Linked DNA regions of Diceros bicornis minor. The protein of the gene in region 3 binds, or shares a complex with, the protein of the main gene of each other region. Links are inferred from orthologs where the notes say so. Each region holds a gene or a part of one and is shown on either strand. Other genes may lie near its edges. The genes, in order: MAPK14, NOD2 and AKAP13.

Region 1 (3,745 bases), on a different chromosome or scaffold from region 3:
ACTTCACTGTAAATCAGGACCTCCAGTTCCAGTGCAGAACTCTTCACACCAACAGTTAGGAAACCTTGCAAGCAGTTCTTGCAACCTTGCAAGCAAGTACACTAAACTCCTCATAGTTGAGCTATTCTGCCGTATCACTCCATTAAAATTTAAATTTCATTGGAAAGAAAAACTTGGTACTACAGATATTAATATGTCAATTCAAGAATGAAAACTGGAGGCAAACTAATAAGCTATTAAAGGAGCAATGATCCAAATATATCTCTGAAAATTAGCAAATCAATAACATACATATATATATAAAAATGCTGCAAATTCCCTTAAAATGCAAACTGCCATACTATAAAAATGGGAAAAAGATATCAAGCAGGGTACCATCAACAACATAACTCAAGCAGCTTGAACTAGAAAATGCAATATGATCTGTTGCTGGACGCAATTGCACAATCTCAATTACCCAGAAGATTCTACCAAACAGGAAATTCGTGATATGACTTTAAGAAACACAGGAATTCCATTTAAAGATTAACACGTCCAAAAGCCTGGAATTTGTTGTGAAACAAAAAGTAATTTTATAGGCCCTTTTTCAAACGACGCACGTACACGAATTACACGAATTAGTTTCAAAGCTCTCAAATTATAGTAAATCTAAAATACAGTGCATAAAACCTTGAAAGTCAGAGAAGTTAGTGAAATATTTCAGGTCGGGAAATCTTATGGTATCAATTTATTTTAAAACCCACAGTGTGAATTACAGGTGAAAAATGCCTCTTCCTTCCTTTCCTATATATTCTATATCCTTATTAAAACCATCGCGTACTCAGGCTATAAAGATAGATAAGTTCCCTGCAAACTCTCTAAGGGAGTCTAAAAACACAGTACTCACAAGAATTATCGCAATTAAAAAATATTTACAATACCTCCCAGCATTGTTAACAACTTTTTGATCTTGAGAGCGTCCAACGGATCTGAATCTCACTTGCTCAAATGAGAAAACTGTTGTGTCCAACAATACTGAAATGAGCGGTGGTCTGTGACTAATCAGCGAGGCCGCCAGTTTCTCGAGCGCAGCGTTCCTGCAGGCACCGCCACCCACCCCCCCTCTGCGGAAAGGAAATACGCTTTCAACCGAATCGGAAACACACCACTCAAGCTGGCACCGCGCTCCCCGAGATAAAGTCGGTATTTTAAGCTCTCTGGGTCGCTGCGAATTCAAAAAGAACGCTTCTGAAAATGGGATTTCGACAGAGGTCTGCAAAAGGGCCCGGAGAGAACGCCCTTCGTCGTCATTTTCGTTGGGATGACCGCAGTCTCCCGGTCGGGCTTTGCCCTTCTGCGTCTCCCGGCAGCTCCCGGGCTTGTCTGCGCAGAGGGCGGGCTCCGGCACCCGGAGTCCTCCGGGAGGGTCCTTGTGCTCGGCGCCAGCAGACACACCCCGCAGAGAGGCCCCCGCCGGCGCCTGTCCCCGGAGCAGCAACCCCCCAAGAGGGGAACGCACAGGGTGCGAGCCAGGGCCGAGCTCCAGCACCACCACCCACCGCGGATCCGCGTCCTGCACACGGTCGACCACCTACCCGGGCGTGCAGGGTGAGGGGTGCAAGGCGTACAGGGCGTGCAGGACAAGGGTCGAAGGGGTATCGATGGCCTCCCCCAAGGAAAATTCCTGCCGCTTGGTGCATCGCCGAGCCGTGGGAGCAGGCCTGGCTCTCGGACATGAGGGGCCACCCAGCCCACCGCGGCCCCAGCCCGGTGACACTCACCACACGGAGCCATAAGCGCCGGAGCCCACCGGGGACAGGTTCTGGTAACGCTCGGGCACCTCCCAAATTGTCTTGTTCAGCTCCTGCCGGTAGAACGTGGGCCTCTCCTGAGACATCTTCCAGCGGCGGCCGCGGGGCGAGGAGGTGGCCCAGCGGGGACCCGCCTGCGCCCGCACCCGCTCCCGGCCCTCGTCGCCCGCCCGGCCGGGCGGGGACCCCGCGCCGGCCGCACGCGCAGGTGCGGCTGCTGCGACCCCGCAGACTCCCGCGCGCGCGGCCGCTGTCACCGCAGCGCCTGGACGCGCCTCAGCCACAGGAGCGAGTCCTGCTAAGGGCAGAGGCGCGCTCCGGGGCTCAAGGCTGCGCCCGCCACGCTCTCCCTGCACCCTCTCCCCGACCAGGCCGACTCTGGCTGCGCCGCAGGACTACCGCTCCAGCTGCAGCGCCCGGGGAGGTTCCAGTGGTCGCCGTTCCAAAGCCAGCGAACAGGAGCCTCCCGCCGTACTCTCGCGAGAACAGCTCCCGGGACTCTCCGCGAGCCGAGATTTTACCCAATATGGAACCTGCCCATGGGAGGGGGTTGATGAGGGGAGAGGACGGGAGGAGCAGTTCTCGCGAGAAGAGAGCAACAGCTGGCAACCAGAGGGAGGAACTCCCAGAGACTGTTCTTAAAGGCGCGAAGGCGGACCCGGGAAAGAGGGGTGCCCCAGGCAACACATGCCGCGTGCGCCGCACAGTGGTCGGTGGGGCAAATGCCTGGCCCCGTGGTGGAAAGCGACAGTGACAAATAGGGTGTCGGGAAAAGAGCCAAACGATCTTTGAACTTTGGGTAGCCACCAGCAGCCGAGCGACTGCTCAGCGGAACCCTCAATTTCCAAGAAGTACTTGCACATAAAAGAGAAAGATTTTCGGCCCGAAAGCCGTTGCATTCCATCCGCTCAAGGACATATGGCTTAGTTCGAAGTTCTCACAAAAATCTGTCCCCAAAGCAAATATTAGCTCTGCATTAAGGCTGAGGTTTTCCACCCAAACTCTCCTAGTAGTTCTCAAGCTTTTATGTGCAGAAGAATCACCTTGGGGGTTTAAAAATGCAGATTCCCAGGACCCACAGGGAATCTAATTGGATAGGTCCCTGACGGGTACCAAGAATGAGCATTTTTACAATAGGCTCCAGGTAATTCTGATTCAGGAAAGTCTCTGGCATCTCCCTTTGAGAAGCGTTTTTAAAACCATTACCCTGAGGGTTTGAAACTGACTTCTGCCCTGAAGAGCTTCCAGTGACGAGGATTTTAAGCATTTGATTCATGCCTCTCAGAGGAAGAAGAACTGGGCAGAGAGTGGTCTTCTGGCAGTGTCACATTAGGCAAGTCAATTGACCTTTCTTAGACCTCACTTCCAGTTGATGCAAAAGAGAATTCCTGCCTTACACTCCCACCTAATAGGGTCATTTGTAAAGCTCAACAAGATAATAAATGTGAATGGGCAAGGTGTTATAACCCCATACCTACCCACACTGTTACCAACCTATTCCTATGCTGAAGCTTGTTGCAATAAGCAGAAGAATTGGACCCTATCTTAGTCTCTTAGTTATTTCCCTTAGAAATAACTAAGTCCAAGCCAGGACACTCCTTATCACTTCCCATGGTCATTCTCTTTTGTGTTATACATTCCTTGGAGTGCTTAGACTTTGCCTATCTTGTCCCAGCATCTAGCACAGTGTCTAGAACATAAAAGGTGTTCCATAAATATTTGCTGAACAAATTATGAACAATGACCATGATCTCAATTTAGGAGGTGATGCAGGATCCTCAGTTCTCCTCAAGGAAAAAATAAATAAAACTCCAAACCAGGGTCATAGGCGATTCGTGGAAAGCTTTTTTTTTTGGATTCCATGTGACTTACCCTGATTCTCATGCCTATGAAAACACGCTGCTTGAAAATGTTCCAAGCCAGCCTGCATGTTAGGGAGCTTTCTAAGAAGTAGT
Region 2 (3,745 bases), on a different chromosome or scaffold from region 3:
CTGCCCTCCTGCAGCCATCTTCCATTCTCGCCCCCTTCACCGAACTTGTCTCTAGGAAAGCATTTCCCACCAGCACACAACCAGACTGTAATTTCTCCATTCTAAAAGTAAAGCCCTCTTTCTACCCCCACTTCCCCTTTCAAGTCCAACCTCATTTCTCTGCCCCCCTTCACAGCAGGACTCCTTGTCTGTTGTCTGTACTGCTGTCCTCAAGTCCTCCCCCATCCCCTCCAATGACGGTCCCCCGCGCCCCCCAGACTGCTTTCAGCGTGGTCACCAGTGACCTCCACGTTGCTCCGCTCTCAGCCCTCATTTTGCTTGCTCTGTCAAAGGCGGCTGTCATAATCGCTCCCTCCCTCCTCCTTGGAGCACTTTCTGTGTTGCCGTCCAGGACACCCCAGCCCTCTGATTTTACCTCCCCTCTCACCGGCTGCCCTTTCTGTCTCCTTGGCTGGTCCCTAACGCTGGGAGCACCGGAATCCCCTGGTTTGACCTCTTTTTTCCCTATCACTCCATCTCTAAGCGAGCCCACCTGCTCTTCCAGCTTTAAATGCCAGCTAAATGGTGAGGACGCCCAAAATTTGTTTCCTGCTCCACCCTCTCCACTAAACTTTTCCCAGCTGCCTACTGGATATCTTCACATGGATGCCTAATGGGCATCTCAAACTTAACAAGCACAAAACCAAACTCCGTATCTTCCCCTAAACAGCTCCCATTTCAGTCAATGGCAGCTCCAAACTTCTGGATGCTCGGGCCCCAGAAACTCCAAGTCATCCTCGACTCCACCTTTCTCTCGCACCCCAAATCCTATCCACCCTACCTTCAAAATATATCCCAAATCTGAAACCGAGATTATGTCGCCACCTCTACGCCATGGGTACAAGCCCCCATGGTCTCTCCCAGAATGACAACAGTGGGCCCCTCACCGGTCCCCCCTTTCTGCCCTCACACCCTACAGTCTCTTCTCCCGCCACAGCCAGATGCACCTGCTGACCCCTAAGTCAGAGCAGGTGACTTCTCTGCTCAACGCCCTCCAGCGGCTGCCCTTGCACTCAGAGTGAAAACCACAGCCCTCGCCGTGACCTTCAAGGCCCCAGGCACTGGACCCCCAGTTCCCCTCTTACCTCTCTGCACTCATTTACTACTAATGCCCCACTGGCTCCTCACCACCCTGCTCCAGCCACACTGGACTCCTCCTTGTTCCTGGAACAGCCAGACCTGCTCCTGCAGGGCATGCTCCTGCCGGGGCGCCTCTGCAGGTGCTGTTTCCTCTGCAGAGCTCTTCCCTCTGCACTGTCCCTTCCCCCCCAGAGCTCACCCCTCCCTCCTTCAAGGCTTTGCTCAGTGGTCACCACCTCAGGGAGCCCATCCCTGACTAGGCAATAGAAAATTGCAATACCCACCCCAACACCTCATCTCCCCGCCTGCTTTATTTTTCTCCATGGTACTTCCCCCCACCTGACATACCATGTATTTACTTATTTGCCTGCTGTCCCACTCTTTTCTAGAATAAGAACTCCGTGAGGGCAGGGAGCTGGGTCTGATTTTTTCATTGCGATATCCCCAGTGTCTCACCGACAAAGATTGTGTGAAAGAATAAAAGAATGAATTAACCGCAGGTTCCAGAAGGCAGCAGTGGAGCCAAGGGGTGGAATCAGCAAGGCACAGATTTCAGCTAAGTGAGACGAGAGCTGCGGGACGCTGAACAGCCACCTCATAAGGAACGAGCTCGCAGTCCCTGAGCAAATGCAGCAAAGGGATCCTGCACCGGGTTGGGGGGAGGTGGGCTGGCTGGGGTCCCTTCCAGCCTCAGATCCCAGGGTGCAAATTGGCAAAGATCTGAGTAACCAACAAACTTAGGGGCGGAGCAATTGGGACAGGAGAACAGAGGCAACAGGGATGTCACTCTGGTCTTCTTCACCACAGCGTCAGGGGACAGGTGACACGGCAGGCTTGTCCCCTCTATGGGACGAGGATCCTATGGCCGGGAACAGCCCATGGGGAGACCAAGGCCATTGGCAGGGAGAAGCTAAGGGCTCAGAAAGAGGGGAAGAAGCGAGAACAGACCCAGAGCCAGGGGTCAGCTGGGGGAGGCTCTCCTCAGGGAGATTTGGGGGCTTTTTCATTTGTTGGAAAGCAAGCAGACCAGACGGCTGCTCCCCAACATGAGGGGCAAAGGAGAGGGCAAAAGACACAGAGAATCCGATGCTGGGCCGCCCCTGGTGAGGGCCTGTCTGGGCCGGCATGGGGAATGAGCAGGGTCTCCACACACACCAAGGAGGGGGAGGAGACTCCCATGGGGTGACTCCCCTGAGGCACTCTCTCGCTTACACCCACCCATTCACAGACATGGGGAAACTGAGGCCGGGAGAGAGGAAGGGACTCGACAGAGAGTAGCCTCTGCTGAGACCTGAAGCCTGGCCTCCTCATTCCCAGGCCAGCCCGGAGCTCAGGACTTCTCATCAAGCAGGCTCTCCCTCCACAGCCCCTCATCCCCAAATCACAGCTCTCCCCAGACCTCAAAGGCTCCTGGGGTCTGGAAGCTCCGCCCACATCCCCAAGCCCCCTGATCCTCTGTAGCCACGGCCCGCCAGGGGGCTCCCCATCCTCGAGACGCCCCCTTTCCTTCTACCTTCCATCTAGTCCCCGGGACTCCCCCAAGGGGAAACCGAGGCAGCCCCTCCCTAAGCCTGGCGGCCGGGCCGGCTCCGAGGCCAGCTGTCCGAGTCCCGGGGCGGGAGCCTGGGCGCCCGCCGTGTCCCCGCCGTCCCCGCGCCGGCTCAGGGGCACTCACCGCGGCCGCCACTCCGGGCCCCGCTCCGCTCCGGCCCGGGCTGCGCGGGCTCTCGGTCCGCCCGCCGTGCCCCCGCCGCGGGCCGGCCCTGTCCCCGGGCACCCGCCCCCGCTGCCGCCCACCCCACCCCTGCGCGGCCGGCCACGCCCCTGCGGTCCCCGCGCCCCGCCCCCGGCGCCGCCCCCGGCCGCCCCGAGCGCTCCGAGCGCCGGCGGAGAGCGGCGGGAGGGGGCCGGGCGCCCGCGGGGCGGGGCGGCTGTGCTGTGACCCGCCAGGTGCGCCCCTCTCAACCCGAGAGGCCCTCAGGACAAGTCGGGAAGTCCTCGGGCATCTCAAGCCTTGACGTTGTGGAGTCCCAGAGCCGCCGCCTCTGGAGCGGGCTGGGTTACGTGGTGGGCGAGGGCATCACAGTTCCTCTTTCTTCCTTGTCCTTGGCACCCTTCCGTTGGAGTTCAGGAGCAGCGTCTCGGTTCAGCGCTCACAGCGTCTCTCACACTGCCGGTCCTCCCCGCGGCAATATCTAACCAGAACTGGACAGCACTGTTTCCTTTCCATTAAATTAAGTCTATTTTATTTTATGATTTCCTATTCTTCCGAGCACGCCACACTGGTTTTCTATCGAAGGTATTAATATAAACGTTCCTTTTAAAACACTTGTATTTGGAAAATTTTAAATGGAATTCAATTTAAAGGAAAATCCTGACATTAACAAAGAGCTTACTATGTGCCAGGCTGTACACACCTTAACTCAGTTAATCCTATCTGCAGGGTAGTGACTATCATTATCCTCAGTTTATAAAGAAACAAACTGAGACACGGACAAGTGTGTTCGCCTGCCCAAGTAGTGACAGCAGAGCCAAGATTTGCCCCCAGGCGCCTGGCTCCAAAGGTTGTGCTCTAACCACTACCCCACACTGCCTCCAGATAAATACCTGCAGGGGGGTGCACAGT
Region 3 (3,745 bases):
AGTACCTCCATAGTTTCACTTATTCCTAAGAATACTGCAAAGTATATTACTACACCTTACAGAGTAGGAAACCAAAGCTCTGAGAGGATAAGGGACCTGCTCAAGGCTACATAACTAGTCAATGTGGGGATCTGAACTCAAATTTACCTCGCTCCAAAGAATGCACATGCTTCTAAACTGTGCTACCTCCTCACTTCACAACAGAGGAATAGGCAGAGATGTGAGTGGGTTTATTCAGGTTTATTCAGATTCAGATTTATTCAGAAATGATTCTTAATCATTTCACCAAAAAACGGAGAAAATTTCTGAATCAGAACTAGTTTTCAAAATCCACAGTGCACTATTTAAACCTCACTTCTTTTCAACAATTAACAGGATAAGAGAAAGGTTAGGAATCCTTTTCGAAATAAACTAAATTTCATCACATTTCAGCAACTGAAGTGTTATTTTGGACAAGTCCCCAGGGTTAGTGGTTCTATGTGCACTACCACTAGCTAATACAAAGCACTTCACCCAACTCAAACACATACTGGACACCTGCACTGTGTTAAGACCCCTTCCTGGCAAAGAGGGTACAAAGCTAAATAAGAAATAAGGCCCATCACAGCCCTCAAGGAGTTAGACTAGAAGAGAAGTCCCTTTATACTACATATACAGTTACCGTTAGTCAAGCAAATAAATGAACTGTTAGAAATCCTAAAACAAAAGTATGTATAACATGCTATCACAGCTTAGAGAAAGAAAGCAACTGGCCTAGCTGTCACATTATGTTGTAAGTAATACTTGTTTATATTATGTCCCTCCCTGACAACCCCTTCCAACCTGTCAAGCTCCCTCCCCACAATCCACCCACACAGGCACACACAACCACACAACCAGGAAGGAAAGCCCTGAGAGCAAGCACTGTGACTCCTAAAAGTCACCTTGTTGCTGTAGTTCAAAAGTACAATGCTTATGCCATAAGGACATTCTTCTTGAGCTTCATCAGGTGAAGAAAGCTGGTTTTTCAAAGCAAAATGCAGCCAACCAAACCAGAAAAACCCAGGAAAGCTTCTCTACATTACTCACTTAGCATGAGAAATCAATCAAAGCAAATTGACACACAGTATTTCTCAAATTCTTCTTTTTAATTTAGCAGATGGCAAAGGAATATAACAACTGATATTAACACATTCTGGTCATTTTGTTCCACTACAAATGTGACAGACATTTAAGCTACTTCCATCTGGGAGATTTAAACAGAATTATTCTCACATCATAAGCCAAATGAAGCAAATTCAGTAGAATCGATGCACCCAAAACTTGATAAGCCTTGTACTTAATGCAGTCTGCAAACCCCCAAGAGACCACGAAGGAATACAAGAACGGTAACAGTGATTTATCTCAGCTCATCATAACTCCTTTACAAACTTGCAAAAAATGATCTTTCAAAAACGGTAGCATTTGTCCTGATCCGGGAAATCCAACGGTTTAGAAAAACAGTATAAGCTGCTGCTTCTGAAAATAAAAGGGGGGGGGGGGTTATAAGAAAAAAAGGCACACATTTTTTTCCTTTACTTCTATACGCCTGAGGCAATAAACTCCCAAAATAACTTCACCGAAGAGTGTAAAAGCTGAGAATGAACACCAAAATATTGCTCAATCCAACTTTCATTGTGAATTCCTGAGTGCACAGAAAGATCTAGAAACTTAATGTGATGGAGTCATTTTTCTGTAAAAACTGTATCCAAAAACCTGTCTATTCTTTCTTCAGATGAAAAAAAAATTTTGAGGGTTTTCCCCATATTCTTTTAAAACTCTTCACATACTAGTTGACTTTGCAAAAAAAAACAAAAGTGTCAGTAAGCCGTATTTACAAAAAGAATGTTTTGTTTGGTCTCCAAGTACGGCTGCACTTGAACTCAGTAGAGTTGAGCCCACTGCACGGCCCCGGAGCGGGTCCCCTCCGGCTGCACGTCTCCGACCCGCGCGGGTCCCCGGCCGCGCCCCCGAAGGCGGGCGCCCGGCGTGTTTACGGTCCCCGCCGGCCCCGGGGAGCCGCTCCCTCGCGTCCGCAACACTTGTTCGCGGACTCCGTCGGACGGGAGGGGCCCACGGAGGAGCCGACCAGGGAAGCCTGGGGCCGAGGGTTCAGGCCTCGCGTGGCCCGGGGGCGCCTGAAGGGGCACTCACGCCGTGCAAGGCGGCCGCGCCCCCCACCCCGGCGTGGCGGCGGCCCCCAAGTTGGGCTGCGGGAGCCGGGAGGCGCGCGGGGCCCGGGAGCAGACAATGCGTGAGGGTGGCCGCGGAGGGAGGAGGGGGCCGCAGAGCCGGCGGGCGCCCCGCGGCCGCCCATTCATCCCGGACCCCGCCCCCCTCCGGGCCCCCGCCCCGAGGAGCGGCCTTAGGGGGAAGGGCCCGTCCTCTCCGCCCGCGACCCCTCCTCAAACCACAAAACTTCCCCCAACTCCGCCAACTAAGTTGCGCTCTCACCGTGCGGCGCCCGGGGCTCCCCCGCGGGCTGAGCTGGAACAGCTCCGCACCTTCGCCGCAGAGAAAGACAATAGGCGGCCGCTACCCCGGCGGCGGCGGCGGCGGCGGCGGCGGCTCGTAGCTGCGGGAGCAGAAGCGAAGAGCGGGCACGGCGGTCTCGGCGAAGCCCAGGCGCTCCACCGCGGCTGCTCCGGCTCCGCGCTGGCCCTGCACACAGCCCCAGCCCGCCAGCGCATGCGCCGCAAGCAGCTCGGGGCTGGGCGGGGCACCTGGGGAGGGCGGTAACGCCTACGAGCCCTCCCATGAGTAAGCGCGGAGCCAAGGACCACGAGCTGGGATTGCACGGTAGAGCTGCCCATCAAGCTCCGTGAGACCAATGGGAAGGCAGCTGGGCGGAGCGTTCATGTTGCTAAGGAAGGTTGAGGTTGACCGCCGCCGCTGCTGCGCGGCGGCAAAGTGATCAAAGTGGGGTGGCTGGCAGAGGCTGCTCTGGGAAATGCCCACCCACGCTCTCCTTTCCGCCCTATGTCCGGAAACCGCCCTTCCTCTGTGTGCCGGTGCTTACCTGAGCTGTAGCACTTTATACCACACATACCGAAATCATTTACTCTTCTATTTCCCTCCGGTTGGAATCAGAAAGTGGAGTTTAGTCTTCACTGTGTCCAGGGCCTAGGAGAGTCATTGCTAGGTGTTCAACAAGTGTTTTAGATGGGTGGATGGGTGGGTCTATGGCGGCATCAGGATTGTGACAGTGCGTTCTGTGAACTTTTGGCTGCTTGATCGCCACAAAATCGTCCATTCTTCCAGTTGCAAAGGACTTCAGAACTCATCTGGTGGCTTTTGAGAAACAAAATGTGGTCCACTGGTACACGAAGAAACTTCTTCATTTTGATAATTGTGTGTTTATTTTAATGCGTATTAGGGGGAAAATGCCTATCATGTCAAATCATTACTTCGTTAGTTAGCCTAGAGCTAAAATATGCTTTCCTGTAAGTGGATCTGGTTCTCACATATATTTTCTTAATTCACCCTCACAGGTGAAAAAACCAAGGGCAAACATTCCTGGTGCTTCATGTGACATTATTTCCCAATCACCTCGTCATGCTGCTCACTCTCCTCCACATCACTCTAACCTGTCCTGATCAATATTTAAAAGGTGACACAAAGAGAGGCAACTCCTACATCCTAGTCCTGACTCTGCCACCAAGGAGCCCACTATGCTCAGGTCACTCCTCCTCAAAGAACTTCAGTCTCCTGAAAAGCAAGGGGGCTA

Evidence for each region.
Region 1: AKAP13 (region 3) and MAPK14 share a complex: the UniProt entries of both Homo sapiens proteins name them as parts of the signaling complex. The link is inferred for Diceros bicornis minor from reciprocal best matches to the Homo sapiens genes AKAP13 and MAPK14.
Region 2: AKAP13 (region 3) and NOD2 share a complex: the UniProt entries of both Homo sapiens proteins name them as parts of the signaling complex. The link is inferred for Diceros bicornis minor from reciprocal best matches to the Homo sapiens genes AKAP13 and NOD2.

The regions. Positions count from the first base shown.
Region 1 is NC_080753.1:28,813,902-28,817,646, forward strand, and holds the start of MAPK14 (mitogen-activated protein kinase 14), read right to left. Parts: upstream 2,248-3,745; 5' UTR 1,877-2,247; coding exon 1,761-1,876; intron 1-1,760. UniProt on the Homo sapiens protein: Serine/threonine kinase which acts as an essential component of the MAP kinase signal transduction pathway.
Region 2 is NC_080771.1:4,262,619-4,266,363, reverse strand, and holds the start of NOD2 (nucleotide-binding oligomerization domain-containing protein 2), read right to left. Parts: upstream 2,845-3,745; 5' UTR 2,795-2,844; intron 1-2,794. UniProt on the Homo sapiens protein: Pattern recognition receptor (PRR) that detects bacterial peptidoglycan fragments and other danger signals and plays an important role in gastrointestinal immunity.
Region 3 is NC_080744.1:89,553,681-89,557,425, reverse strand, and holds the start of AKAP13 (A-kinase anchor protein 13), read right to left. Parts: upstream 2,673-3,745; 5' UTR 2,473-2,672; intron 1-2,472. UniProt on the Homo sapiens protein: Scaffold protein that plays an important role in assembling signaling complexes downstream of several types of G protein-coupled receptors.